4 linked regions of the Arabidopsis thaliana genome follow. The protein of the gene in region 1 interacts with the protein of each later gene in a biochemical or structural test. Each region holds a gene or a part of one and is shown on either strand. Other genes may lie near its edges.

The links.
Region 2: the proteins of RR16 (region 1) and AHP1 form a complex in vitro, tested with the Arabidopsis thaliana proteins (one study listed by BioGRID).
Region 3: the proteins of RR16 (region 1) and AHP3 form a complex in vitro, tested with the Arabidopsis thaliana proteins (one study listed by BioGRID).
Region 4: the proteins of RR16 (region 1) and AHP5 form a complex in vitro, tested with the Arabidopsis thaliana proteins (one study listed by BioGRID).

What each region holds. Positions count from the first base shown.
Region 1 is NC_003071.7:16,968,093-16,973,591, forward strand, and holds RR16 (response regulator 16), read left to right. Parts: upstream 1-1,761; 5' UTR 1,762-2,165; coding exon 2,166-2,328; intron 2,329-2,409; coding exon 2,410-2,495; intron 2,496-2,592; coding exon 2,593-2,670; intron 2,671-2,747; coding exon 2,748-2,821; intron 2,822-2,931; coding exon 2,932-3,028; 3' UTR 3,029-3,142; downstream 3,143-5,499. Other genes in the region: AT2G40660 (Nucleic acid-binding, OB-fold-like protein), read left to right, coding at 57-125, 229-320, 479-542, 670-774. UniProt on the Arabidopsis thaliana protein: Functions as a response regulator involved in His-to-Asp phosphorelay signal transduction system. Phosphorylation of the Asp residue in the receiver domain activates the ability of the protein to promote the transcription of target genes.
Region 2 is NC_003074.8:7,575,241-7,583,887, forward strand, and holds AHP1 (histidine-containing phosphotransmitter 1), read right to left. Parts: upstream 4,550-8,647; 5' UTR 4,298-4,549; coding exon 4,238-4,297; intron 4,013-4,237; coding exon 3,882-4,012; intron 3,790-3,881; coding exon 3,721-3,789; intron 3,617-3,720; coding exon 3,545-3,616; intron 3,457-3,544; coding exon 3,384-3,456; intron 3,252-3,383; coding exon 3,192-3,251; 3' UTR 2,472-3,191; downstream 1-2,471. Other genes in the region: DXPS1 (1-deoxy-D-xylulose 5-phosphate synthase 1), read right to left, coding at 1-369, 450-600, 688-852, 934-1,050, 1,226-1,354; DMP1 (transmembrane protein, putative (DUF679 domain membrane protein 1)), read left to right, coding at 6,760-7,383; AT3G21530 (DNAse I-like superfamily protein), read right to left, coding at 7,588-7,862, 7,944-8,073, 8,147-8,354, 8,445-8,647. UniProt on the Arabidopsis thaliana protein: Functions as a two-component phosphorelay mediators between cytokinin sensor histidine kinases and response regulator (B-type ARRs). Plays an important role in propagating cytokinin signal transduction through the multistep His-to-Asp phosphorelay.
Region 3 is NC_003076.8:15,744,754-15,753,056, reverse strand, and holds AHP3 (histidine-containing phosphotransmitter 3), read right to left. Parts: upstream 4,327-8,303; 5' UTR 4,264-4,326; coding exon 4,051-4,263; intron 3,562-4,050; coding exon 3,431-3,561; intron 3,350-3,430; coding exon 3,278-3,349; intron 3,186-3,277; coding exon 3,114-3,185; intron 3,015-3,113; coding exon 2,942-3,014; intron 2,863-2,941; coding exon 2,809-2,862; 3' UTR 2,166-2,808; downstream 1-2,165. Other genes in the region: AT5G39350 (Tetratricopeptide repeat (TPR)-like superfamily protein), read right to left, coding at 95-2,128; AT5G39330 (transmembrane protein, putative (DUF1163)), read right to left, coding at 6,050-6,326, 6,433-6,788.
Region 4 is NC_003070.9:845,835-854,253, reverse strand, and holds AHP5 (histidine-containing phosphotransfer factor 5), read right to left. Parts: upstream 6,462-8,419; 5' UTR 6,096-6,461; coding exon 6,027-6,095; intron 5,888-6,026; coding exon 5,757-5,887; intron 5,613-5,756; coding exon 5,541-5,612; intron 5,447-5,540; coding exon 5,375-5,446; intron 5,257-5,374; coding exon 5,184-5,256; coding exon of another isoform or gene 5,127-5,183; exon of another isoform or gene 5,076-5,126; coding exon 5,019-5,075; 3' UTR 4,633-5,018; downstream 1-4,632. Other genes in the region: AT1G03440 (Leucine-rich repeat (LRR) family protein), read right to left, coding at 380-1,573; 2A6 (2-oxoglutarate (2OG) and Fe(II)-dependent oxygenase superfamily protein), read left to right, coding at 7,680-8,302. UniProt on the Arabidopsis thaliana protein: Functions as a two-component phosphorelay mediator between cytokinin sensor histidine kinases and response regulators (B-type ARRs). Plays an important role in propagating cytokinin signal transduction through the multistep His-to-Asp phosphorelay.

The sequences.
Region 1 (5,499 bases):
TTTGGTTGAAAGTTACTTATCTATGGTTTCTTGATTCCTGCGTTATTATGATGAAGAACCGCCTCGTTGCACTCATCACAAATGTCAAACCTGGAAAGCTAAGAGATGTAATGTCACAAGGACTGGTAATACTCTCTTCTGTCTGCCTCAATCCAGCTCATCAGCTATCAAAATATTTCACACTCTCACATTTGCTCATTTTCTGTGTTTTTGATTTCTTTGCTGCAGGTTCTTTGTGCTTCAAGTGAAGATCACTCGGTGGTAGAGCCGTTGCTACCACCTGCTGGTGCTAAACCAGGAGAGCGTGTTTCATTTTCAGGGTACATAGTTTTAACAATATAACATCGAACCTCTTTGATTGCTTTATTTACATGTTTCCCCTCCAGCCATTAAACTCATATATGCTCTTTTCTTTTTATTTTATTGTTGTTCTTGTTTATCTCAAACTCAAGAACCCTTTATCGAAATGTTTATATAGGATTGAAGGAAAGCCAGAAGATGTACTGAACCCAAAAAAGAAGCAACTAGAGAAGATAACACCGGTATGTGTTTTTTGCCCTTTATTAGGTTCCAGACTTAAACAAACCGAAGATGCGAGTACTGTGTTTGCATTATTATACGTAAACATTCAATCTCACGAGGACTTCGGTTAATCACATGCATTTGCAGGGTCTCTACACTGATGAAAATGGCGTAGCCACATACAAAGGCATACAATTCATGACCTCGGCTGGACCTTGCACTTCCAGCATCCCCAAGGCGACCATCAAGTAGTAAACTCAGTTGATACTTCTCTCCTCTACTCTAGCGTTTTTCTTTGATATTCGCAAACTCAGTTGGAAAAAGAAAAGATGTTCTTTTTGTCACAATTCGAATTAATCTAAAAACTTTCTTCTTATTAGCTTTTTGACAAACATCATTGTTTCAATTTCCCTTTTGAGAACTCTCTGCTACTAGATACTTAGTTCCATTTTCTTTGTTCACTCCTTTCGTTCAAGCTGTGCAAGTCCACCATTGGATTGCAACGTATTACCTACAAATATCCACTTAGCTACTTATGGGGTTTTTTCAATCAGATAAACCAAGCCATTCACTCTGGATTGAACTATCAAACCAATTGTGTTCAAATAAACTTGCAAATTACTTCAATTAGAAGAAACAACCTCCTTTTGTTTTGATTCGACGTAGATGATCTTACAAGGAAGGATGATAAAGAATCTTAGACCTGGCCCATGGGGATCTCTAAAAGAGATTGGTGGTCCATTTGTGACAAAAAGTCATTACCTGTTTCCATTTATTCCAAGGATTTGAACCCGAAAAATAATAATGAAAAAGTTGATATCTAAAGAATTATCTTATCAGCTTACAAGATCCTGAAACAGATCCGTACGACTGTCACCGGACACATATGTTTCTTTATTTAGTTTCACAAAGAATCAGTCCTCCAAAACACACAACTTCTTTCTTATATTAAACACACACAAAATCTTTATTCTTGTCCCAAAAAACAATTATGATCTTTTTTGAGGTTCTTTGGCTTTTATTATACGATTTTTCTTCAAATCATATCAGATTGTTACCGAATAAATCTTTTTCATATCATATTTTCAGTTCTATGAATCTACTACAATTTTTTAATTTTAAAGTGGTCCAAAAGAAAAGAAAAAAAGAAACCCCACACGATTCGAAGAACATGTCCTAACAAGTAACACAATACAAAAAGACAAGTATATGCAACTTTAAATCTATAACGACTGGTACTGAAACTAAAACCCCTAAAAATAAGAGATCACGAAATATCCGTGATATTCTTTGATGCAATCTCTTCCCCATTGCTCTCTGTTTTTATTTACTTTTAAAAATTATTCTGCAGAATTATATATAGTTGGGAAATCATAATGGAAAATTCTTCACCCACCTAAAAAATCAAAGAAACCATCATAAATACCATCACCAGAGATTCACATGATTCATGCATACACACTTCTGAGTCTGTCACTTTCTTCTTCATTGTTTGTGTTTTGTCTTTTTGATTTATTTTTGTTGAAGATGGAGAACTAAAAGCAATGTCTGCAAGGTCTTTATATTAATGCTAGAGTCAGTCTCGCTTATTATCAAGTTGTTTTCTTTATCAGTTACTTGACATTTAAGGAACAAAGGAGATCATGAACAGTTCAGGAGGTTCTTGTTCGTCTTTAATGGATGTGGTGGCTTATGATCATCATCTTCATCATGGTCATGATGAAGAGCTTCATGTTTTAGCTGTAGATGATAATCTTATTGACCGTAAACTCGTTGAGAGGTTGCTCAAGATCTCTTGTTGCAAAGGTTCAATCATTTTACCTTTCATGTTTTATAATCAATCATTACTTTATGCAATCTTTGTCTCTAAAATGTGAATTTTTGCAGTGACAACAGCAGAGAATGCGCTTAGAGCATTGGAGTATTTGGGTTTGGGAGATCAAAATCAGCATATTGATGCATTGACCTGTAACGTAAGCAAAAAAAAAACATATAAAATCTTCAAGATCTATGGATTTTTTTCCTTAGGACATATTTGATATTAGGTTTATATATGTGTGGATTTTCTAGGTTATGAAGGTGAGTCTAATCATCACCGATTACTGTATGCCTGGAATGACAGGTTTTGAGCTACTCAAGAAAGTGAAGGTAATTATATAACAGCTTCTTGGAACCAATATCCAGAGATTTATATTAACCTAAAAATCTTCTGTGTGTTTCTTTAGCAGGAGTCATCAAATCTGAGAGAGGTTCCTGTTGTGATAATGTCTTCAGAGAATATTCCTACTCGCATAAACAAGTAAGAACAAATTGAGATCAGATTAAGAACTTGTTTCTGTGTTTCTTATAGTGTAAGTAATTAGTAAAGATCATCAATCTTAATGTTCTGTTTTGGTCTTTTGAAAGCAGATGTTTAGCGAGTGGAGCTCAAATGTTTATGCAGAAGCCTTTGAAGCTTGCTGATGTTGAGAAGCTTAAATGTCATCTCATGAACTGCAGAAGCTAACCATGAGAGATTTATAATGTTAGCCCTAACCATGAAACGTTTTCATTGTGTCTTGATTCCTTATTTGATTATTTTACATGTTTTTCTTGAAATCAAGAAATGTTTTCACATGCCCTATAGTAATCTTTATACACAAAAGGAATCATAAAAAGTGGTTGTGGTGATGAAGATGATGACGATGTCTTCTCTCTTCCAATCCTAAACATCGAATAAATGGATAACATGAGAGGAAGAAACATCTCTTTATTCCTCTAACCATTGAAAATGGAGGCCACACGCAACAACAACAACATTGATGAGTCTCTTCTATCGTTGTTTCTTTCTCTTTTCTTCTTCCTCTTCTCTTATCTCTTTTGCGGCCATTGTTGCACAATATTGACATCGTTTCTGCGTGAAAAGAAGAGTAAGAATCTTGTGCAGCAAGAAAGGTCTAGAATTTCAATTTAGAACAGAAAAAATTAATACGAGAGAAAAAAAAGAGCAAAGGATCTTAACTGAATCACGATGAGATTCATATAAGAGTACAATCCTGTTTTTCTTCTCTTACCTCGGAAAATTCACCGGAATCTTATGAATGGGCTCGAAAATCTTTGGCAAGGAAGATTAATGGTGAGAGAAGATGATGAATCTCTTTCTTCTCCGAGAGACAGAGAGAGAGAGTCGAAAGTCGAGACGCAGAGGAGAAATTGTCTCCTCCGGAGACTTGTACGTCTCCATGGAAGCTTTCAACATCATAACACGTGTCATTTCATATGTGTCTCCGTTCTCATTACTTTAGATCGGACCAAACCTACCAATCTTTTTTATGTTTTTTATTTTATATGTTTTGTTTATGTGCATGATGTTATTATTTTTCTTTCTTTTTCTGATTTGTGTATGTACCGCACGATTTCTCGTAGTATACACATGATTTGTATTTGAGACTGAAATAAAACCATGCTATACGTAGATTTGGTACTACACGTTATTTAATTTCAAATCATATTTCTATCATTCTGTCCAAAAGAGGTGGCAATTAGCGGAGCTAATTGAGTTTGATACGTATCCAATTTGGATAATGAATCTTGGAATTCAATGTTCACCAAAATCTAACCTAACTTAAACTTGTTTTGAAAGTTTGGACTTGAGTCTAGTGGTAGTGAGGGTGTTTAATTTTGAATAAACTAAACTAATCTAATTTGAACCAAACAATTCTTATCTACAAACCGAATAACCCATAATTTGAGCCTAATTTTTAAGTACAGATAGTGAATTTAAAATGGTGACACGATACGATATGATATTTTAATGGTGATACAAAGACGACACAAACATAAAAATCATTAAAACTATTAAATAAACTATTTTTGCTTGAGAATTAAACATATATATCTAACTAAAATTGAATTCAAATGCGAAATCAAAACTATATAAAGTCATCCGCAAAAGATTGGTTCTCTACTACATTAAAACCAAAAACCCGGCGCTTGAATTAAAGAGATTCTTAAACTTTTGGTCTTCAACATTCAGCTTATCCGGCGCTTGTATTAAAGAGATTCAACAACTTTGTTCTGCTTTTCTCTGGAGTGGGCCTGATTTAAATCCTTCTGAAGCTAATTTGGCGTTTATTTGCAGCACCAACGTCTCTGTGGAGTAAGTGGATTCATGCCTATTTAATTCGGAAAAAACGTTTTGGACAGTCAAGGGAAATTCATCTCAAGGTTCTTGGATGTGGAGGAAACTCTTAAAGCTTAGAGACTTGGCAAAGGATTTCTATCAGGTTGAAATAAAAAGTGGCAGAGGGACATCCTTTTGGTATGATACATGGTCCTCTTTGGGGAACTTATTTGATACTTTTGGAGATCGAGGGTGCATTGATTTGGGTATTACAAAAGAAGCCACAGTGGGTGACGTTTTGGCCTCTCAGAGAGGTAGACGACATAGAGTGGAGACTTTAAATAGAGTGGAAGAGGTCATCAGGGAAACAAGGGTGAGGAGGAAGGTTGAAGAGGAAGATTTGATTCTATGGAAATGGAAGACAGGTTTTAAACACAACTTCTCCTCAAATGAAACTTGGAAAATGCTGAGAGTTGAAAAACCAATCTGCAGATGGGCGAAAGAGATTTGGTTCTCGGAAGCTACACCGAAGTTCTTTTTCATCACTTGGCTTGCAATTCATGATAGACTAACAACGGGTGCAAGAATGAGATCATGGAACACACAAGTGGATACTACCTGCAAATTCTGTGCTGAACCGGTAGAGACAAGAAATCACCTCTTCTTTCAGTGCCCTTATTCAACACAAGTGTGGGAGAAGCTCATGAAAGGCCTACTTCAAGGTCATTACACTTCTTCTTGGGACCGCATTGTTACGCTCCTCACAAGTTCGTCTCTTGGGAGGAAACATCTTCTACTGCTGAGATATACATTTCAAATAAAGGTACACACCATATGGAGAGAAAGGAATAATCGCCGACATGGTGAGGAGAACC
Region 2 (8,647 bases), on another chromosome or scaffold:
TGGTTTTGGTGCTCTTTAATGTTTCAAGAATGGAGACCAGATCATCTATGTTGTGTCCATCAACTGGACCAACATAGTGAAAACCAAGTTCTTCAAACAGTGTTGAACTAGTCTCTCTAATCATTCCACAATTAGATTGCAGCCTACTAAGAGCACAGCTCAGAGCTCCAACAGGTTGAGTTGGTCCATCCAAGTTAGCAGTAGGCAAAGATACTTGTTTGTTGTCGTTGAGAATCACAATCATGTTGGAGTGTAAGTAGCCAGCATTGTTCATTGCTTCATAAGCTTGTCCAGCTGTCATAGCACCATCGCCTATAACCGAAACCACGCTGTTGTTCATCCCCTTCAAATCCCTCCCTACAGCCATCCCTGATTCACAATTTCCGCATGCATGTTAGGAAAGTGATTTTTCTTGTTTTCTTGTGACACAAGAAAATAACAAGTATGACCTAAGCCTGCAGATAGTGTGGTCGAACTGTGCCCGGTGCCAAAAGAGTCATGCTCACTCTCTCTTCGCTTGGTGTAGCCGGAGAGGCCATTGGTCTGCCTTATTGTCTTCATCTTTCCTCTTCTTCCCGTTAGAATCTTGTGAGGATAAGACTTGTCAAAAAGACAAAAACAAAACAAGTTAAAAACACTTGTACATGTAGCTAAAGGAAAACTTATGCTTGCAATGAGATAACCAACCTGATGACCAACATCCCAAAGGATCTTATCATGAGGAGTATTGAAGATGTAATGAAGGGCCACGGTGAGCTCAACAACACCAAGATTCGAACCCAAGTGTCCTCCAGTTTTCGAAACATTAAAAATAACATCAGATCTCAACTCGTCCGAAAGAACTTTGAGTTCCTACATAGCAGAACACTTTTTCATCATCACATCCTTGATTTGACACAAAACAAGGTTCAAGACTTGGATTAGGATTTATACTTTGATGGAGAGATTTTTCATGTGCATTGGATGGTTGATTGTGTCCAATAAAGGAGTTGGTGGTCTGTTTGAATAATATTCACCTTTCTCTGAAAATGTTGTTGCTCTTACTTTTGACTGAACCAAAAAAAGATGTTATGTTATTTTCAATTAATTCAATAACTTTCACAAACTTAACAAGAACTAGTGTACGTATATAGTTTCTCACGGATAATCTGCAGAACTTTGATAATAATGCAACTTCATATAGTAATCAATAAGTAAAAGAGGGAAAAAAGAAAAAAACTCTTACATATTTTGTAGAAGACATAGAAGAAGGTTTAAGATATTTTAGTGAAGGATTCCTATTTATGTAAGAAGGAAAGGCAAATACGGAGAGAGCCATTTGAGAGAATTTGTTAATCTGTGTTTGATATGACATTCCAACGTATATATAGTGGTAGTATCAATAAAATGTAAAGCTTACTAATCGAACTCTTTTAACACCTTAAATCCACGTAGAAATGTATTTTGTACAAATTTAATATCAAAATTTTAGAGAATAGCTTTCTGTTCACACACATGTTAACGTCTTATTAAAGTTTACGCTCTTTAACAACGGTCTAAATTCATTTGTCCGCAAGATACACACCTCTTATTCCCAAGTTAGATGTTGGTATAATTCAAGGTATATGATTTAATTTAAGTGACAGAAAAATGATAAATAATTCAGACCACAAAAGTTGACCACAAGTATTTGGATACATAAGCCTTATTTAATTTTCACTATAAAAGTAGTTAAGCACGGCTCTATTGCTCGTCTCAATCACATCGACGTGATATTTATATTATTGGGGATAGTTCAAATAGAAACTTAAATCAGTAGCCGTCAAAAAAGTAGTGTATTGACTAATGTACTAATCCAACGGGAATCACTTACACCATATTGTGGCTTTGTGGGAGACTTTAATTAAGAGATGTTTGTATGATAATTACATTACATATCTGTACTTTCAAATCTACACAAAATATACGTAGCGTAACCTAACACATTAATGAATAATGATGCATGTATAATGTGTTTCATGTGTGTTGAAAGTTGTAACTAGTGATTTAGACTACAGATAGGAGAAAACTTAATGGAATTATTCAACCTATCTCTTGTCTTGATTACTGATTAGTCTTCTTCTTCTATGCATATATTTTCACCAAAACATGCTTCCCTTTGGATACTATGCATGTTTGAAACAATAAAATAGGAATAAGATATTGATTATAACCAAAAAAAAAAAAGTGTTATTTACCCTATGATCCTTATTTAAATTTGTAATCGATAATAACAAGGTGGAAGAACATATAAACATCATATTTTTGTCATATTGCATAATTAATGGTATGGTTCATTATACATACGAAATTACGAACTGGAAATCTTAATTATTATTGAAAAGACAAAAAGGTCACTTGAAAACAAAATTAAACAGAAGGTACAATTAAAGGAACTAGTAAAGTTATGAACAAACGATGAAGGGAACGCTCATTCTTTACCCAAAAAAGTTCAAATAAAAAAGATGGAGCACTAATTAATACGAGTATAGAGCAATACAAAGTTATAAGTGGTAAACTAGAAGTCTAGAAATCGAACATGAGGTTATAAATTGGAGCCATATATAGTCGACGACAGGTCACGGATCTGTAAGTAATTAAGAATTTTGTCATTATTTTATTTTTAGCTACATTATTTAACGTGCACTCACATAGTATAACTTTATTTTTTTCTTAATTGCATTGTATAAATGTCTGAAAATCTTTAGAGATTCGTCGAAGTGCAATCGTAATAAAAAAAAGATTTCCAAGATCATCATGGATGTTTAGTACGGGCCCTTTGTTATCATCTTGGGCTACTAAAATTCATATGGCCCATCTGTGTTCTTTGGTCAAGGACTACAAGACTTCTAACTACTTCTAACAGTTACAGTAAAACAACAACCTAATACCTAACCAAGTTGTCCGGATCACATTACCTTGATGCGTACATTATCTTGATCAAACTCTATATAATTGTAGTCATGACTCATGACTATATGTTTGCTTGAGATCTTATTTTACATATGTGGGATTTAGATGTGGATTAAGAAACGTTTTAGCATGTCTCACTCTTCCAATGGCACAAAGAAAGAAGTTCACATAAGAACCTTTTTTTGATAGTCACATAAAGAGAGGAAGAAGAGAGAGTCCAAAATGAAACAACAATGGACAGAGATGTTTATGAAATTCACTCAAAATCCGAGTTCGACGGCCGGGATCATTCCACCAGAAGCTACAATCTGTTGCTCCAGCTGCATAGATTCGATCATCAAAACCAAAATTGAATCAGATAAGTTTCAAATGTTGATCAAAATATTGTATAACTAGATAAGAGTTATGTGGGTGGTTTTATAAAAAAAAAAAAAGTCTCTTTGACTTTTTACCTTGAACAGAGTCTCTAATCTGTTTTTCACAAGATAATACTCTTGCTTCACTTGTTGCAAACATCTATGACATCTGAAATTTTTCAACGATGTATTTTCCTAATCAGATCTTAAAACAAAGAAATAACGAATGGACCAACGAACATATCGATTAAACTCACGCTTCGACATTTTGCTGCTCGCAGAAGCTGCGGAAGACAACACAAGCATTCTTAACTCTCTGTGCTCCTATACTGTTATTTTTTGGCAATATATATTGTTACACATTTCAAGATCAAGAAAATGTCATTATCATTGGATTAAAATCAGAAATAGCCAGTTTTGTTTTTGTTGTTACCTGGAGCTGCTACCTTTGAGTTGATGAACATGGGGATCAACTTTTTTAAAGTCTACAACTTGTTGATCTCTGCCCGAAGCATAAAAAAACAGTGAGAAACACAAGTTTTGGAAAAGAACAAAAAAAAAAAGATTAAAGAGAGAATGTGTAAAGAAGATTACAGGGAAAGTGAGAGATCATTGAGAATCCTATCAGAGTCTTGGAAGAAGAGTGTGACAACTTGTGAAACAAAATCTGGATTGCTTTCATCTTGTAGTTGTTGCAGCTGCAAGAACTGGCTGTCCAAAATCCCCTTTTTTGTATTTACCCAAAACAAAAGACTTTCCATAATCAGAAACTAATTTTACATAACCTAAACTCATGATTATCTTACCAAAGAAACTACAAAAGCCTAACACATTTTTACTATAAGTCCTAAAACCATTTTTACTACAAGTCCTAAAACCAGAAAGAAAAAGTTGTGAACGTTAAAACAAGTTTTCTGATTATTTGATCTTTTCAAATGTGAAAAACTTACTTCTAAGAAGAGTGATTTGGTGTAATCTTGCAAACTCTTCTGCTTCTGAACCAAATCCATATTCTCTGTTATTTGCTTTTGTTCTTTATTTCTTTGTTTCTCTCTGCCAATAATGGAGGTAAGAAAATGTCCAACAAAATCCTCAGTACTTAAAAGATGAGAACAAAATCCTCCGTATCAAAAAACCCTATTTTTTAAATTTAAATAGTTTGTATTTTATTATTACAATTTTGGTTTGGATGTGAGAAAAGAATCCAAAAAGAAAGAAACTCTTAAAGAATGGAAGTTGGTCGTGCTGTCAACTGTCTAACCATTCGCGCCTTTTTTTCCTCGTTTTTTTTGCAAATGTGATAAAGACATAAGAAGAGCATTTGATACTTCTTGATTTGTCTTTTTTTTTCTTAAGATTTTAAAACATTTTATTGGTTCGAATATTTAAATTACTGTACTACTGATGAAAAGCATATACTAATATGCACAGCTCGCATTCAATGTATCTTTCAAATAGCATCTCTAGGGAAACTTTATTTGTAATATAATTTTGATTTGATCCTCATTGTTTTTGTCCAACTAGCAATTCTTTTATTATAATAATACATTGATTGGTTAGTTTATTTTATATTGATGTATCACAAATATCGTAACGTAATGGGTTTATCAAGGAAATTGTGACTTTGAGAACTCAAATGCCGCCTAACACTTTGTAATGTTGTTCAAAACCAAAACTAAATGCAGCTTATAATTTCTTTAGTCATATATCTCGTCCAATCATTTGGTGGAATTCTTATTAAACTAGGATTTATCATATTTTGTGTTATACCAATATTTTTCATTATAATCAACCACTTATCACAATTCAAATGTTTTTTCGTGATTTCTCAAAGCTTTTCTATTTACTCGTTTGTCACTTGCTCTATAAATTTCTTTCAACTAACAATATTTCAAAACAACCTAACAATATATATGCAATAGCTCATATCCTTTCAATCTTTCATAGAGTACTACATACAATATATTTTTACGTAACATTTTCAACTACAACGATCAGCACACCAGTCTCATCTTTTTCAACCACACTATTTCTTCATTTGCATATCCCTGGTATTTTCGTCACTCCAAATACTTTCCCAATCATACTCATACACACCATTCTTATCTATTTCCTCATGCACAGTAAAATGACAATTTTTTCCTTAGACAATTCGTATTTTCAATAACAATTTCAACACGTCAAGCCAAAATAAAAATAGTAAATTAGTTTCACTGTATTAATTTCTGCAAATTTGGGTAAACATCAACGCTTTGACACGTCTCACATGATGAATGGACATGGGACATGCAAGAACGTAGGATGCGTTTAACGAATGGCATAAAACGTATTATATATACTAACTAACCAAAGATTATTAGTGGTTCTTACTTGATAATGGGTCCATCGTAAGAAGGTTCCATCACTAATTATGGACCTTTCAAATCTTATTATGAATTTTGATATCTTACATTATATTATCTCCGTATAAAAGTTAAACTGTGCTTCCTTAGTTTTTAACAAATTTATACGTAAAAAGTCAAGAAAGAGTTTGCACTCACCCATATCTCCAAGCAATTTATTATAAGAAAATCCTTATAGCCAATAGCCATATCAAGTTTTTAAAAAGGTTTAAAGCTAGAATACAAGTCGCTGTAGACGCAGCCAAATACGATATTATTTACTAAAAACAAATAAAAGGTAAACATGCAGAACGAGTTAGTCGATTTGTTGGTTCACTGCCAATTTCAGGTTAAGTTCAATTTACACAAGTAAAATAAATTAGTTGTCAATTTTATCTCGTGTATGGGCTTGGTTGGTTCAACCGCAAACAAAAAGAAGAAAAAAGTGAGTTTAGATATTAAAATGGTGTATTTACATTTGTAACACAATACCGTAAAAACAATCCATGTTGACGTAATGGTTTCACATACGATAAACACACTTTTAGATCATGTAAAATACAAATGCATGTAAACGTAGATTTTAAAACACAAGTCCATATTCTCTATCAATTTTGTGTTATCACGTTTACAAATTATGTTTGATAAAAGAAAACTAACCGCATTTTAACATATAAACACAAAAACAACACATTCAAAAGACATTCAAAGTCGTTGTATAGTCTTAAAATTTTTACGGATCCATAAGAGAAACTTCTCTTTAGATTCAGTCAAGATTCATCACCAAACGTGTGCTTTATTCGACGCCTTAGAAATTTCTTCGCATTTAGTTCCAAAACTCAATAACTTATCGAAGAAATTATAATCAACCGTTTTAGAAATTATTGAGTCTTCGTGTGTAGACATATAGACAAAATTTAAAATAGTTTGACTTAGTCAATGTTATTACCAATTCTTCTACGGTGTTAAATCCAACATCTCGGACCGGATCAATGATTTATCATCTCAAAATTGTTTTATAAATACCGACACACGTATCAAGCCAAGAACATACTTTATAGTTTATACATCTAACTCTAAGGTTCAAGCTCATGTCCGAAACTTCTTTGCTCATACCCAAAACAAACTCTCCAGCTTCATCAGAAAACATGGCAAACACAAACAAATCCCTCACAGGCCTAGAGAGTCTTATAAAGCTTCTCCCAACGGGAACACTCTTTATCTACCTTCTACTTAACCCTGTCCTCACTAACGACGGTGAATGCTCCACAGGTAATAAGGTCATGTCGAGCATTCTTGTCGCCCTTTGCAGCTTTTCCTGCGTCTTCTCATGCTTTACCGATAGTTTCAAAGGCGTTGACGGATCAAGAAAGTTCGGTATAGTCACCAAGAAAGGTCTTTGGACTTACGCGGAGCCAGGATCCGTGGATTTATCCAAGTACAAGCTTAGGATAGCGGATTTCGTTCATGCGGGTTTCGTGCTGGCTGTGTTTGGTACACTGGTGCTGCTTGACGCTAATACCGCGAGCTGCTTTTATCCTCGGTTCAGGGAAACACAGAAGACACTTGTCATGGCTTTGCCTCCTGCCGTGGGTGTTGCCTCAGCCACTATCTTTGCTTTGTTTCCGAGCAAACGAAGTGGAATCGGGTACGCGCCAATTGCTGAGGAGGTAGGTGCTGAAGAGGAGACCAAGAAAGCCTCGGTCTCTGCCTAAGATCGGTTACCTCAGTTGTTTCTAAATTATTTGTCAAGATTTGTTGTAGATTGTACAAGAATATCATTGTTTACTTAAACTTTTATTTAGTTCTTTGTAAGCATAGCTATTAATATGTAGACTAAATGTTGTATTGCATCTTAATATGATGGGAATAAACGTTATCATATACACAAGTGTTGTTTCTTAATCAGTGTCCAAACTTTATGAAGACATCAGATTTCCTAGTTTCCATGTATCTTTCGACATCAAATTAGCTTTTATCTGAAAGATCTTCTGCTTTGCTTTCTTGCGTGAATGTTTGAAGTTACCTCGAGATCGCTCTTTGGTTATAACTAAATCGACTTTGACTATATGATGATCAGAAGTACCTTTGGAAGAAACAACTGAGTACGAGCCAGGAACAAATTCGTAAGGTGACTCTGGAGATGCCAGAATGTAATCGACCCGTGTCCCGTACTTGCATGTTCCTTGTACATCTGCATCAGATCAAGAATTTCACATATTAGTACTATTACTACATTGAACTTTGCAAGTTAAGAGAAAATGGAGAAACTAACTTTGTCCTTTGGCAATAATGACTACAGGCTCACATTCTCCTGCAAATTCTTTTGAATCCAAGTATCCTTTTCCCTTGAGAAACCTCATCACTTCAACTCTAGGCGTCGGCTTTCCAGAATCCTCGTAATACTGTTCTTACAATACATGGTTTTTGGTTATATATGAGACCAACTAAATAATGACTGATCTAACGAAATTGTACCTTTACGATGTGGTTCCATCTTGCTATGGAATAATCAGAGCCATCAAGAGAATTCAAGCCTCCAAGGAGGATGTGGGGAGATTCGTCTCCTCGAGTAATTGCATCGATCTGCTTCATACGCCAGTTCTCATCTAGATGGTCAAGTTGAGTACAATACACATTTACATCTCCAGCCCATGGGATCTCTACAGTCACCTTCAACACATTCCTGCACACGCAAAAGACATTTACATCAACAATGATATAGTGGGAAGAGGAAAATCAATGTAAGATAAGCAAAAGAGATTTTTTGTATTACCTAAAATCATCTACATCAGCAATTCTCTGAACTCTCCACTTCTTTATGGGCCATTTTGATAGTATGGCGTTTCCATACTCAGGCGCCCAGCTCTCTGCAAACACGTATTTCATACCTAAGGCGGAAGCCAAATCTGATAATGGTTTCATAAGTGTCTCTTCCTCTGCTTTCACGTCTTGTAAAGCCAAGATGTCTGCATCCAA
Region 3 (8,303 bases), on another chromosome or scaffold:
ACAACACTTGCAAATTGTAATAGACGCATATATTTCTGCTACATTTATGATCATTTGAACCCAACAAAAAAACTAGATATATCTTCCACATCTCTCATCTTGTATCAACTGAATTACTTCTGATCTCGATTGTGCTATGACCTGGTTTCTTTCTCAATCCAACATTCTCCATCATGCTTCTCACCTTCTCCATATCTTTCCATCGTCCTAAAGCCGCATAGATGTTTGCCAACAACACATAGTTGCCCGTGTTCTCTGGTTCCAGCTCGAACAACTTGTTTGCTGCCATTTCTCCAAGCTGGACATTCTCATGTGTGACACAAGCAGCAAGCAACGCACCCCAAACGGTTGACGTTGGTTCAAATGGAATTGTTGTGATGAGATTGTAAGCTTCGTCTAACCGACCTGCTCGACCAAGGAGATCAACAATGCAAGTGTAATGGTTTGATCTGGCTAACGTTTTGTAATGTTCAAGCATGAACCTGAATAATGTCAAGCCTTCTTCAACCAAACCCGAATGACTGCAAGCATTCAAGGCAGATGTAAATGTGATTTCGTTTGGCGTTACACCAGATCGAACCATTTCCATGAAAACTTGCAACGCATTATGACCATCTCCGTGCATCCCGTAGCCGGATATTAACGCACCCCATAGAACTACATCTTTGCTCTTGTGTTTTTCCTGGATTCCATTGAATATCTTGTGAGCAGATTCTAATGTTCCACACTTTGAGTAAACATGAACCAACCCTGTAGCAGCATCAAGGCTTGACATAAACCCGGTTTTGGTTAGGTAGCAATGGATATTCATTGCTTGACGCAAATCTGCCAAAGCTGCATATGCTGGAAGGAGACTGTTTAATGTAGCAATATTGGGCTCCACATCTTCCCGTCGCATCCGTTTGAATAGACCTAACGCATCACTCACAAGTTCATTCTGTACACAACCAGCGATAATTGCACTCCAAGGACCGGTATGGTATTTCGAAGCCCCCGAAAATACTCTAAAGCAGAGGTCTACACGTTTGCATTTAGCATACATGCTGATCAAAGATGTTTCTATAATGATATCGGAATAAACCTGTTGCCTCACCGCCCAACCGTGTAAACATTTACCATCATTCACCTTCAAAGCATCACCACACACCGAAACAAGAGAAGCTATAGTCACAGCATTAGGTCTTACGCCTTCAAACTGCATCAATCTACACAACTCTAAAGCGTTTTCCACATCTCCATCTTCAGTATATCCGTTAATCATACAAGTCCACGTGATCACATCCCTTCGTTCCATCCTGTCAAAAACAAATCTCGCTTCATCCATACGACCACATTTCAAGTACATATTCACCAACGCATTCTTCACCTCAATTTTATCCCCTAACCGCTTCTCTTCCACCAACTTATGAACATTCCTCCCCATCTCCAAATCCTTCAAGTGACCACAAACAGGCAACATAGAAACAATCGTAGCATGGTCAAGATCAACACTTTCATTAACCATCCAATCAAACATCATTAACGCATCATTCATATAACCATTCCTATAATACCCACTAATCATCGTGTTCCACGAAATCACATCACGGTTCTTCATCACATCAAACACATCCCTCGCCATTTCAACCTTCCCAAAGTTCATATACATCGCTAACAACGCGTTCTGCACATACTTATCCCTACCAAACCAACTCCTCAAGATCCTCCCATGAACAACCAACCCCAATTTCATCGATTTCAATTCTCCAGCAGCTTTAGCAACAAAAGGGTATGTATAACCATCCGGAACACACTTAACCCCCTCACTAACCATCCTAATAAACACGCTAATCGCATCGTGATACAATCCTTCACGCACGTACATTCTAATAACAATGTTATAAGAAAGCAAAGAGCTTTGAGGCATTTCCTCGAACAGCTTCCGTGCATAAGTGATGTGACCACATAACGCATAAGTTACGGAGAGAGTCGAGAGAATGTGGCCGGAAACTCGACCGCCGGTGATGACGTGGCAGTGTAAAGCTTTGGTTTTTGAAATTGATTGAGTAGCTGCAAAGTGATTCAAGAGAGATTGGTATTGCTTGACGCTACTAAGTGCGTTGTTGGCTCTGCGCAAAACTTCACTCATTTAAAGAAAAAAACGACTGTTGAAAAATCTATTGGGTCGCAATTTTTTAAAAGCAACGACATATCTAACCAAACTGCGTGACGTTTGTATTTTACAGTGAGAAATGCTTGACGTTTTCTTATTTTACAGTAAGAACTGCGTGACGTTTGTATTTGACAGTGAGACTGCGTTGACGTTTTGTATTTCACAGTGAGAACTGCGTGACGTTTTCTTTCTTAACATTAGCTGATGGGTTTAACTTTAGGTTTCAGCTTTCACAGGGGACACTTGTGAGTGTTTGTTCTTGGTTTGTTCCTTTTGCCAATGTCTTCGTGAAGCTTTTTGCTTTCAGAGTCTATTCTTTTGCGCGTTGTCTTGTGTAGCTCTCCTTGAATTTTCTGCTTCTTATGATGCTTCTGTGTCTGGAAATATTCCTGTTTTTGAATACATAACTCACTCTTGTTCATATGGTCTTATGAGATGCAAATTCATACTATTCAGATAAGATCAGTACCAAGATTCAAGAGATGATGATACAAAAGATACATAGTATTGATCTATGAACAACAATCACCTCTCTTTTCCACACATTCTCAAGAGTTTTTTTTCTTTTTCGAAGCAACAAATTCGAGTAGTACTCGTCTGAAGAATGCAACTGGATGATCATCATCTTGCTGTTCTGTTGTCGATAGGTCTATTGTTTATATATCCACTTGAGGGATTCTACCACCAGCTTGGACAATCTGTTGCTCAAGCTGCAACAAAACAATGCAAGACTTATTCACGAAATTCGAAAGCAAAAAACCGACACAATTCACGTAGCTTTTCACTCACATTGAACAGATCTTGAAGCTTTGCTTTTAATGTCTTGTACTCAATATCCACTTGCTGCAAACATCTCACACACCTATAACAGAGATTGTTTCCCAAATTAGTTTCAACAATCAAATGAACATAGCAGAAATTTGAGATTCTCTTAAAGAAGAACCGGAAAACAAAAGCTTACCCTTCATAGTTCTGAGAGTCGCAACACTCCTTGAGGGTAACACAAAGACCTTTGACTCTCTTGGCACCAACACTTCATAGAACAACAAGAAAGGAGCTCTTCACTGAGACTAGATCCGAGATTAGACTAAAGGACCGAGACTATACAGATCAAATGTGACATACCTTGAGCTACTACCTTTGAGTTGATGAACACTAGAACCTACCAGTTTGAAATCTACATTTCCTGTCTGATCTCTGAGTATACATATGAACCAATCATTAAACCATATCTGCTAGCTTTTGATGATTAAACTCGTAAAAGAAAAGTAAACTTACAAAGCTCTAGCCATATTACTGATAAGCTTCTCACAGTCTTCAAAGAAGAGAGTAACAACCTCAGCCACAAAATCAGGACTACATTCATCTTGCAGCTTTTTCAATTCTGTGAATTGATCATCCAAAAACCCCTTTACAAAACCAACACAAAGAATCTCAGAAACCCATTTCACAAAATTCCCAATTCCAAATACAAGCTCCAAGTACCCTAAAAACAGTAGAGAGTAGTCATCCCTAAAAAGAAGACAACTTTGAAAAAGAGACAATAACCCATTTCACAGACCCTAAACCCAATTCCCAAAATCCCCAATTGCCATATACAAGCTTCAATAAGAACCCTAAAAACGTAACCACAAATTCAAAGTTTGCTTCACCAGAAAAGTAATCACTTTGAAAGGAGACGACTTTGAAAATGGAGACAATAACCCATTTCACAATCAGTAAACCTAACTCTTAAATCCCCAGTTTCCAATTTAAAAGCTTCAATAAGAACCCTAAAGACTGTGGAGAGCCATCTCTAAAAAGGAGACTTTAAAACTCAACCACAATTTCTAAGTTCTCTTCACAAGAAAGTTAATCACTTTTATCCTGAATCTCTAAGGAGAGATGCTAAAATTTACCTGGTGATAGAGACTAATGGTGAAATCACAAAATCGTCTCTGTAACTGAGCAATGAGTGTGTCCATGGCTCTCTCTACTCGTCGTGAAGGCAAAAGCAGAGAGAAGAAGAAGATGTAAAGTTTGTTTGAAATTGCAATCCCAATAAAGAGATTCTTACAGATCATCAAATTTGGACAGAAATAAATAAAGAAATAGTCACAAAGCTTTTCCATAAAGGGCAGAGAAAAAGAATTAGAATATGATTAGTTGTCAAAAAGACAACTTTTACAAGTGAGAAACATTGATTTAGGCCATAAAAAATGGAATCTCTAATTCATGATTGATACATTCATTCATTCACTCAAAGTTTTTAGCATTTTCCAATGTTAGGTATGTTTCTGTTATGTCAATCCACCAACACTAAGAATCTCTCACGCTGGAAGATTCTCTATAGACAAGTTCATTTGAAGCATTACCGTGTGGACAAGACTGAAGAACATTGGTTCTATTCTTTTGACATGAGCTTCAGAGAATCATATACTCTCATCAACTTGACCTCATGAAAACAACTTATAGTGGCAGATTTTGCTGTTTATGACAAACTAAAGGGTTTTTTGCACTAATATTAAGTTGTTTGGTAACATACTTATTAATATTATATCGTAGAGGCATTTAGAGTTCTTTCTTACCAAAATACTCTACCTTCTTTTTTTTTGCTATAACAGATTTTGATATTGGACTTGTTTTTTCGGCTGTTTAGATCTTTTTTTGTTTGAGTGAAATGTTTTATTTTTCAATTTGTTGGAAACAACTAATATGATCGCGAGTGTCATTTTGAGAGTTGCGGAGGCAGCGAGCTGGCTATATAGTAAGGTCAAAGGAGGTAAATCTGGCTTTATTCGGTAACACATCTAAGTTTAGACATCGAAAGCAAGAACTTTTGTTTAGAGGCATTCACATTTAAACTAGGAAACTTTGGGTGAGAAGTCCACACGTCTTGGCTATATATGAATTGCTAAGCTGAAGCAATATGAGGTGTTACATACCTCCTGCAAAATTAAGGTCTATATAATATAACTAGAGCCACCCCAAGCAAAATTAAACAATGGTTGTTAGCGCCAACAAATTTGTAAGGTTTATTTAGAAAATATTAGCATATATAAATGGTATAACTTATGGTGAAAGATTCATATATATGCTTAGGATAGTATATAATGATTAAGAAAACAAAGTGTAAAATTATAAGTGTTAAATCTTGGTGACCTGAGTTGAGTTGAGAATTGAGTTGTGAGATTAATACCAAAGAAAAAAGTGACCTGACTTGGATCTTAAAATCTTTCTCTTTTTTTGATGAGACGGATCTTAACATCTCTCTCGTTTATTGGTAAGGATCTTAACTACTCTCTTTAATTTAGTAAATATTAATTTAAAGAGATCTAAATGTCCCAAAATCTTAATAAAATTATAAAAAACTCCAAAAAAGAACATTCGGTCCGTGTGTAGCTATGTTCGGATTAAACGTTTTTAATAGGTAGGTATTGGATCACCCCATGCTTAGCAAATTTTTAAACACTAGATATATATATACAAATTTACTATCACAACACAAAAGATAAAGATCCACCTTTGGGAGGGCAGACCATGCACCACACCATTAATTAGAGATCTTGCATGCATATTGATCTCATAGATGCAACATTTGTGGAGAATGAAAATACCATCCCAAAAATTGAATATCATGGAGGAAAATAATTGCAACTTGTCCGTCAAGGATAAATGCCTCGTGTAGAAATCATCATAACACCACGTACAACTCCATGATATTGCTCTAGAACATATCTATTGTTCGTAAAGAGAGAGAATTAAGAATGTTCAACACTTAACATCTAGAAGAAATATATTCCATTAATTAATTTATAGGAATTTAATTTAGGTAAAGCAAGTCCATATCAAAACGCAAAAGAATTTAGAAAGTCCATCATTTGACAAACTAAAGAACAAACTATTGATGAAAAGTACTTAGCGAAGATAGCGGCAAATAGGGTGGTCTCCAAACAAAGTTGCATTCCTTTGAGAGCCAGGCTCGAACCTTAACATGGCTTCATCACACGCATAGTTCATCTTTCCACTTGTCCCATATCTACAATCCGGAAGAAGCAATCGCGATCGGAACCTTATTTCACCTTTTTCCTTGATATCCTTCATAATATCTTTTATAATCACACCCTCCATGTCTCCTTCAGAAGCAATCGATGAAACCCTAATCAGCTGAGCCCACCGTGGTATCAGACTGTAACTGATCAATCATGATAAGGAATAACACAAAAATATGTGAACAAATAAGCTGAATAAATTATTAAAAATTCTAAAATATAGACAATAGAATAGAAAAAAAGTTTAACCTCTCTATGGATGAAGTAGCAATGGTAACACCTCTGTATATTATGGAAAGCTGAAAATCTCCTTTGAGACACATATACCAACCAGGAAGATCTCTAGGGATCCTTAACAATAAATCCCATTTTACACTAAGATGAGTCTCGGTTATATTAAGGACCGTGAAATCCATAGAAGGTATTGTAATATTTGGGACATAGTTTTCTTTTTCTTTATCTTGTTCATACCCGCAAAAGGTCATAGCAATGAAGAAAGCGATACAGAACAAGATGACCACTAAGACGACAAACTTCGGATGGTCTTTTAGTGTAAACGGAGGCAATTCAGATGTGAGTTTGGGAACTAATGCTTCTTTTTTCATTTTTTTCTGTGAGAGAGAGAGAGAGACGTGTATATAATCAAAGTTTTTTTTTTTCTTTTCTTTTTTTCTTATAATCAAAGATTTTTATGTCGACGTTAATGTATTGCTATAAATAGCGTTTTTCTTTTACAAAAATTTAATGTGTATCGATCAAAAAAATGTTTTATATGTGTATATCTTTTTACTGATATCTTTCCCATTTTGTATTGTGTTTCGTTAGTTTTATTACATTATGCTTTAAAGTTTATAAGACTTTAGAGTAGTGTAAGGAAATCTAAATCAAGAATTGATTCAATAATCCAAAAAATATGTGTGGGAAATATTATTACCTTATATCAATGTATATTTTTGTTGATGAAAAAATTGTATCTGTTGTTACCTTTTTTGCATAAGGTTTCCAATAATATCTTTTGCATGAGGTTCCTAAGAAAATGTATCTCTAACCACTCTTTTAAAAGGGAGAGATACTATGTTTGGGCTTTGTTTTCAGCTCATTCTCCTTTTTTTATTTTTTGTAATTTGATTCAAATTAACCGAAATATAATTTTGGAATTAATTTTAAGCCCTATAACTGAACCGAATAATCCGAGTAGCGACCGACTCGAACCGAACTTAATTTCGGTTCAATTCGGAGAGATTTTTCAAAAACCGAATTTCCTAAAACCAAATAACCCGACCCGAATAAACCGATTTCACGTAACTCTCACACCTAACGTTCACAATGAAAAATAATAAAATATAATCAAAATAAGCTGAGGTTACTGTTGGAGATGAATGATGACAATAGATATGAGTAACCTCAGCTTAGTCATCTCCAACGAAAAGATATATCATTATGACATTGACATTACATATGAGTTACAATAATTTCGTGCAAGCAACCACTCTGCGACTTGCACGGACTCGCATGTTCTGTCCCACGTTCACCCACTACACTCTCACTATACAAGTCTAACTTTTGGACGTCCCTCACTCACTAGGCTAAGATCTTCTTATTCACAATTGTGAATTCTACCACAAGTAAGAAAACAATAACACTATTTACTTTCTTTCTGTTTTAACTTCTCAACAACAACCAAAGTTTACTATAAATCGGAGCCAATCCTGTGGTTTAAAAGCTTCGAAATTTGGTTACTTCTAACTCAAGTCTGGTTAACTCAATAGGTTATTTGATTTTTTTTTGTCAACGCAATAAGTTATGGGCTAGAAATGTTCCAGTATTTTCAGATCCGATCTAAAGAGATTATTACTATATTATTATACACCAATCTACAATAATTTAGACTTCAATTCTAGAATTTGATGAACAGGTTCAATTTTAATTGACTTTGAATTAAAAACTAAACCTTTATTGCTTTTTTCTAAGGAAACAACAATTACACGAGCTTTTGACAAAATGTGAAACACAAAATTATAAGAGCTTAGCATAAGAAACACATTGTAAAATGTAAGAAACAACTCTTCAAGACTTCACAAATCGAATCTTGAGACTAAAATTTATATGAAAGCGAAAGC
Region 4 (8,419 bases), on another chromosome or scaffold:
CTCATTTGTCATCTCCCACTCCTTTTTTTCTATTAAAACGAATTTTAAGTTATTACTTTTCTGAAAACAAATTTTGGTAAACAAGATCATTCATGAAACCATTTTGAACACTCTTCAATAAAACAAAACCATCATTTTCCAATTTTAAATACGCAGAAACGATGGATAGTGGACAATCTTCATCCTCACATCAATATAATCCTTATTCCAAAGACACTTGTACACACCAAAACTCTAATCTTCATTCTCACCAACGAATAAACGAATCGTTTTTTCCTTTAAAAGTTTTTTTTTAACACGATGAAACACTCTGTTCCTCAAAAACTTTAACCAAAAAAATAAAAACATAGTATTATATAAGAAAGCGTAATTTACCAAACTACCCTCGCCACTCGGTGCATTGTGTAGTGGGCCTAGTCTTTTGTGGGCCGGCCTTTAGCGGACACGGGGTTTGTAACGGCGGCACCATACAGTTATACTGCAGACACAGCGAGCTGCTCACCGGGATTTCCGCCGCCGGGCTAATCTGTATTCCCGTCAAGAAATTATGCTGTAGATACAGAGTCTGTATGTTCGCCGATAACAACCTCTCCACGAAACTCGCCGGGACTTCACCGGTGAAACGATTGCTGTTTAAGTAGAGATTCTCAACGCTTGAGAGAAGCGGAGATATCCCACCGGAGAATCGATTGTAGCTGAGATCGACGGTGGAGATCGTCACTTGATTCGCCGGCTGAATTAAACCGAAGAAGAAATTGCGTTGTAACTGAAGATTTGTGATCGGGAAGGCGAAGACTCGAGCGGGGATTGTACCGGTGAACCGGTTTAAGCTGAGATCAAGGTAGTTAAGCTGGTTCAACCGGAGTAAAACATGGTATACCGATCCGGTTAACTGGTTCCAAGCGAGTGAGAGGTATTGAAGCGACGGAGGGAGAGACGCCGGTGAGATTGAGCCGGTGAGGCTGTTGCGTTTGAGATCGATTCGGGTTAGAGTTTGTGAGAGAAACGGTGGTATTGATCCGGTTAAGTGGTTGTGGCAGAGAATCAAATTGGAGAGCTCCGGTAACGATCCGATTGACGGAGAGATAGTTCCGGTTAATTGATTATAGCTTAAATCCAGTGTTCTGAGACCACGAACCTCGCCGAGACTCGCCGGAATCTCGCCGGAGATGAAATTCCGGCTGATTGCGAGAAAACGAAGGTCTTTTAGCTGAGAGATTGTTGCCGGTAACGCACCCATGATTCTGCCGGGGACAATGGAGAGCTCAGTGAGTGCAGAGAGTTTGCCTATTGCTGGGTCGATCCGACCCGATAAACCGGGTGAACCGGCTCTAGGATCGCCGAGATTGAGAGAGATTACTTTATCTCCGTTGCAGTAGACGCCAGCGAAGCCGCATGGATCAGAAGTGAAATCCCAAGACTCGAAGAACTTGGAACCTGGCAAGTCATCGAGGGATTTACGAATAGCTTGCAGAGCCAAGAAATCAACTGGGTCGAGAATCGCCTCCGTGAAGAAGCCGAATCGAAGCAGGAACATCAAACACCAAACCAACTTGGTAAATCTCATCATCATCTTCTTCTTCTTCTTCTTCAGACTTAGCCGTTACAGGTTCAAGAAACAGAGACTATATATATACACAGAGGGAAGAACAGAGACGAGCTGTAAAGTAGAGAAAATGGGTTTTGTTTTCTGATTTCTCGTGAGAGGGAAAGTCTCTGGTTTATGTGGTGGAAAGAAGGTGTTCTCGTGGGAGCTTCCGTGAGAGCTTTAATGGAGGATTATCAATAAACGATTAGCAAAAGGAAGAAAAGAAAGGTTTATCGAGAGAAGAGAAAGAGAGTAAACAAAATGGCTTGAGAAGGAAGCCAAAAACCCAAGAAATGAATCAACGTCGTCGTCTGTTTCTTCTTTCTTCTTCCTCTATTTTTTGTTTCCTTTTTTTATATTTTATTTTGTCTAATAGTGTCAGTCTTTGTACAGAGAAGAATATACGAAGATAAGTATATATGTTAAGTTACTTCTCAATCAAGTTTGTAATCTAAACTCTAGATTATCTTTCTCTTTGTACTCACATCATAATTAATAAGAAGAATACATATTCTCTACAATCTACATGGTAAGTTAATCTAATATACAGTTTAACATACATACAAAGATACTTGGTAAATTCTCTATACTTTCATTTTCCTCTTTGTTCCGCTCTTTTTGTTTGTTTCTTTTGGTGGCTTGTGGTGGAAGACGATGATATGAAAATTTAATGTGTCGGACAAAAACACTAATTAGAATGCTAAATTAAGAAAGGTTATACATTTGGATTGTGTCAGTAAAAACATGAAAAAAGGTGCCTTCTTTTCTTTTAGCTGTGGTTTTTATGGGGAACAGGTAATATGGTAAAACGGCTGTCCGAGCCTTAGGTTCGTAAAGAAACAGATTAGGTTCGGTGAGAGAGACGATAAAAAGTGTGTCTTCTCGTCACGTGAGTTTTGTGTGCGTTTCAGTTTTACTGTTTTGAGTGACAGCTTGGACGAGCGAGATTTCCGTGACACGTCAGCTTTCTGGTTCGATAATTACTCTATTGTACTAGCTACTACCTTTGTTTTATAATTGTACTTTATTATTTTTTCCAGATATATTTTGCTCGATTTTAAAACACAAAATCAGCGTTACAATTTCATTTTCCTGATTGAAGTTGATGAAAAAATAAAATAAAGAATTTTCCTGATATTTAACACAAATCATAACGCATATCGTAGGAAGTTTAGCTTATGATAGATGGTTAAGTAATGGTCAATGTAACTGATGAAAGTTTTAGTCAATATCAACTTTGAAGTGTGTCCTAGTCTATATCTAACTAAGCTTTACTGTACTATATCCACTTCCAACAAATCTTGCGACCAAAAGTTTATTTCACAACTACTTTTGATTAGTTAAATGTTATAGTCCCTAGTTAGTACTAAATGTTTGATTCGCCATAGGGCTTCTTTGATGAAGTTATAGATTAACACATCTATCGAAGAAATGTTTCGTATACCGACTCTTGCATAAATCAACAAATGTTTTTGTCAATTGTTTTCACTCGTTTACATTTAGCCATTATACTAATTACTAACTTACTTCATTGACCAAAAAATATATAACTGTATTAATCTATATTTATATATGAAAGAAAGTTTTAATATTTTACGAATGAATAAAATGAATATGAGAAAGATGTAAAAGCTAGCTATGACAGTTAGATAGGTGAAAGAGAAAAAAAAAGATTTGTAAGGTTGTTCCAACTGTCTAAATTTTACAAAGGTAGCTGGCAAATGGTCCTTCAATTCCGTGGGCGTAAAGAAAGATAATTGGTAAAAAAGTTGGACAACGCATAAGAGATTGACTTTAAGTTTAAAAGCAAAAGGAAAAAAAAAGAGTAAATATGGTAAAAACAGTGACATGTTATATTTCTCTAGTTTTTACTCATTTGGTTTTTCACAAAACTTGTTGTTTGTATGTTAAAAAAAGGAATAGGAGCTTGGACCACAAGTTTTAGCAACAACACATGCATAAGATGGTCAGGTCAACATTTATAACGCTTACCCAATTTTAACATTTGTTTCACTACATACGCAAGCAACAAAATAGCTCGATATATACCTCTACTGTACAATCTTTTGCCTTGTGTACGTATATTAGCAGATTGTCTCTACTTTTGATGTGCATTAATTAGTTTCATAAGTGTAACTACCGTTTTCTGAAAATAATTAACTCATAGCGTACATCTAAATACGTTTCAAATAATGATTCGCTACTGATTCACATATACCAACCATGCATAATAAAAATGATTTAGTATTCATTCTAAGAGAGACTAGGTAGTGATGAGTAGACCAAATTAGATTTATGAAAAGAAAACTTGGCTTTGCAAGAAAGCCAAAGCAATACGTTCCAATCATAATGAACAAAATTAAAAAGGTCTAAACCCTAAGATGGTCCGCACTACGAGACAATTAACGCACTCGTTTTGGGACTCTTGTGTTTGTTTGGTGTGTCGTCGAATCCTCTCTCCATAGAAGGTAAGATCACATAGTAACCGATATAAGATTTGCTTTGACTTTTGAATCGGTTTCATGAAGAACCCTAAAACCAACCATGTTATAAGGATATTACAAAATTATTTTAAAAACATTGGTTGAGAGAAATAAAAATGATGAAGATGGATATGATAAAATGAAGGATAGAGGAGAAAAGCTTTGTTATTATTTGTTACATTACACGCCTCCATGCCTTCAATTTATGTTTCATTAGTCTCTTTCACTTCACATACTCTTCCTTTAAAAAAAAAAAAATGCTCCACCTAGTGATTACCATAGACACATGGCTTCACATTTTTTATTCCACTTATAAACAATCTATTGATAATTCTTCGACATTTTCTTTTTATTTCATTCCTAGTTTGAGGTAATTCGGACATTATATTAAATACATACCTAACAAGACATGCCCAATCCTTTCTCAATCTATTGTCACAATCATGTCTTATAAGCCCTATAACAATAATGTTGATAAAAGAGACCATGGAATACCGTTAACAAAATAAAGAGACCATGGAATCGTGTTATCCATAATTCAAACAAATCATTCTTGATTAATCCACACATAATGAAATCGTCTAAAGTGCTAACTAGTACCCGCATGCTTTACGGCTCAAATCAAAATCATGAATCCAATAGAGTATATCAGATTCAGAATAATGCTGAGAATTCTAAGTCATGATGGTCAGAACAAAGGCTCCAAATGGTGGTTGCATTGTGACAGGAATACATATGGACATGTCTATTTATAGACTAATAATTCAATTTTTACTCTTAGAACTCAATTAAGAGTCTAAACAAGACACGATATCTGGCCAGGGACAGTGTTGCTGAACCTCATTAATCAATATAAAACATAACAACAACAACAAAACTACAGAGGAGTTTCGGTTTCATTTGTGTCATCAGCCTTGAACATTTGCATAATCGAGAAACGCATCGGTCTAATTTATATCCACTTGAGGAATTGTACCTCCAGCTTGGAGGATCTGTTTCTCTAACTGCAACAACATAACATAACAGAAACAGAAGAATGAGAAGTAGCAAAAGGCTCAGTAAAAAGAATACACAAGCAGAACAAGTAGGTTTTCGCAAAGTTTAAAACTCACATTAAAGAGATCCTGAAGTTTAGTCTTTAACATCTTATATTCATAATCCACCTGCTGTAAACACCTTAGACACCTGTGCCAGATATCATTATCACAATTTGTGTGTGAATTAGAAGAATAGCTTCTCATATAATAAAAAAGTTTAGAGATCCAATAACATTTTGCATCAACAAGCTAAAAAATATACTCACCCTTCACGGTTCTGAACATCGCAACATTCCTTGAAAGATATGCACACATTTTTCACCCTCCTTGCACCGACACTGAGTACAAAGCAGAGACTGAGCCATTAAAATCAATGTAGTTTGGTCACTTAAAACTAGAAAAGCAAATTTAGCAGTGTTCACTGTGACAAACCTGGAGCTACTACCCTTGAGTTGATGAACACCTGAATCCACCTGTTTGAAATCCACATTATCTGGCCGCTCCCTAATGTTTATAATAAACTCATAAAATGCTGTCATGAATATATGAAGCTAATTTACACCCTCAAAAATGAATATGAAGGAGGATTAGAGACAAAGTCCCATGTTAGATAAAAAAGAGAAGCCTAAGAGAGTAAGCAAAGCTTACAGGGATATAGACATGGTATTAATAAGCTTGGAACAGTCGTCGAAGAATAGAGAGACAACTTCAGCTACAAAATCAGGGGTTCCTTCATCTTGCAACTTTCTCAACTCTGAGAACTGATTATCCAGAAATCCCTTCAAAACAACAACATATTATATCATCTTTATAAAAAAAATAAAAAAATTCAAATTCACACATAACTGCACCTTAAGCTTATCTAAGCCCAAAAGTGAGAATCCAGCCAAAGTAAGAAAAGTTTGGTTAGGAACGAACCTGTTGATAAAGAGAAACGATGTAGTCTTGAAATTGTCTCTGCAACTGAGCAACGACGATGGTGTTCATAGCTAAAGTTTACCAAGAACCAGACTTGTAAACAAAGATGGTAAGAGCTTCTCAAACATACATATACCAAAAACAAACAACGGATACGGTGAACTGTATTTCGACGGTTCCGAGATCGATCTAATCGGAGGTTTTTGGCTTAATTTAAAACAGATCCAACAACAACTAGGCGAAAAGACCAAAGAACAAACTTCCAACTTAACTAAGAGATTCCAAATTCAAAATCGGAGCGACACAGAGAGAGATGATGATGAATCTGATCGGAGCGTCGAAAGTTATAATTTATTCCACGTTCCGTTGACTGATTTTGACTTAAATATCAAATGGAGGGTTATTTTTGTAAATGACTATATTGTAGGAATTAATCAAGTACGTAAATAATATTTTAGTTTGTGGGGTGCAAATCTGATTTTATAGATAGGGAAGTTGCTAGCATGCGTTCTCCACAAACGAGATATCTTTTTTTTTTTTTTTTAAAAAAAAAGGTCCAGTCCCAATTGGGCTTAGGCCCGGAATTACAATCGTCCACAGTTACAAAACAGGAAAAATCCGGTCACCGGAAAAAGAGAACCAGAGGTGGATTTGGGCAGTGGAACGGAGGCAGCAAATAGATCTATTAGTACCGTCGTATACAAGGCCCACTACTTTGCAACACAACCACCGGAACGAGATCATTGGCCGAAGTATACGAGTCCTGCCGCAAATCTCTTACCAATGAGCTGGCCGGACCTGCAACAAACCTAACGGAAAAAACCCAGTTTCCGACACTCCGCCACCCAATTTGGTCGAGTCCCCAACCTCGCAAAACGACCACGCATTTCCAAGCCTCTGACCTCCAAAACCTTAGATCTGAAAATTTTCCAAAAGCAAAGCAACCTTCAATCCGGATTGATGGAGACAAAAAACGGAGGCTAAAGAAGGGTGATGGCTCAGACAACCCTTCAGCAACCGGAACCCGCAACAGCCATCTCAGATCCAGTTTGTTAACCATCAAACACGCACTGAAAACCCACCAATCCACAGCGTCTTCCGCCACAGCTACAGCGTCTAACCAAGTGGTTGAACCAAGAAAGACTTCACCGATCTCCACCGACGTCCATAACCAGGAAGAAACGGAAGAGAAGCCTCTCATCCACCGAGAAAGGGCCACCGCTGCCACGCTTACCGGAAAAACCACACCACTCCAATGCCGGAGAAGATAGCTTGCCTTACTCCTGCTTTGTCTTGCAAATTCATAACCTAAGATGAAGAACAGAGGCAGAAAAAACTAGATCTGTAAAAACTGGAAAAAACTTCAAAGAGAGAGAAAATGAACAGTAGCGGAACGATTGTCCAAAGTCCTCCAAACGAGATATCTTTAAATGTTGTTTTGCTAATTAGTGGCGTTTCGAGAGCTAGGCGAGCAACAATGGCGATGAGATTTAATATGGTAAGTGTGTAGTTAATTAACAAAAGTTCAAACCGGATGCTATTCTTACTTGTAAAGACAAACGACCAATTAAGAATCCAAATTTTAATATAGGAATTGAAATAAACTAATGGACCTTGTTTTTGGCGATTCATTTCTTTATTTGTTATCTTAATATGGGTCACGATTCCTTTTGTTATTTAATTGTATTAAGATGTGCATTAAGATGTGGAATAATAGCACTTATGCAAATCTGTGCATTGCAAAAAAAAGAAAGAAGAAGCAAGATGGAGTCAAGTGATCGTTCAAGTCAAGCAAAAGCTTTCGACGAGACAAAAACCGGCGTGAAAGGGCTTGTGGCTTCGGGAATCAAAGAGATTCCAGCCATGTTCCATACACCTCCGGATACTCTAACAAGCCTGAAACAAACAGCACCACCTTCGCAGCAGCTGACGATCCCCACGGTGGATCTGAAAGGAGGAAGCATGGATTTGATATCGCGGCGGAGCGTGGTGGAGAAGATTGGAGACGCTGCGGAGAGATGGGGATTCTTCCAGGTGGTGAATCATGGGATCTCGGTGGAGGTGATGGAGAGGATGAAAGAAGGGATTCGCAGGTTTCACGAGCAGGACCCGGAAGTGAAGAAACGGTTCTACTCTAGGGATCACACTAGAGATGTGCTTTACTACAGCAACATCGATCTCCACACTTGTAATAAGGCTGCAAATTGGAGAGATACGCTCGCCTGTTACATGGCCCCCGATCCTCCCAAGTTACAGGACTTGCCCGCGGTTTGCGGGTAACGTTTCCCTTTCCATACCAAACACCTAGCTAGCTAGGATTCATTTCTCTTTAGTTTTTTTTTGGTTTATGATGATAGAGATTATATTCTTTTACTTTAATTATGAGAAAGAAT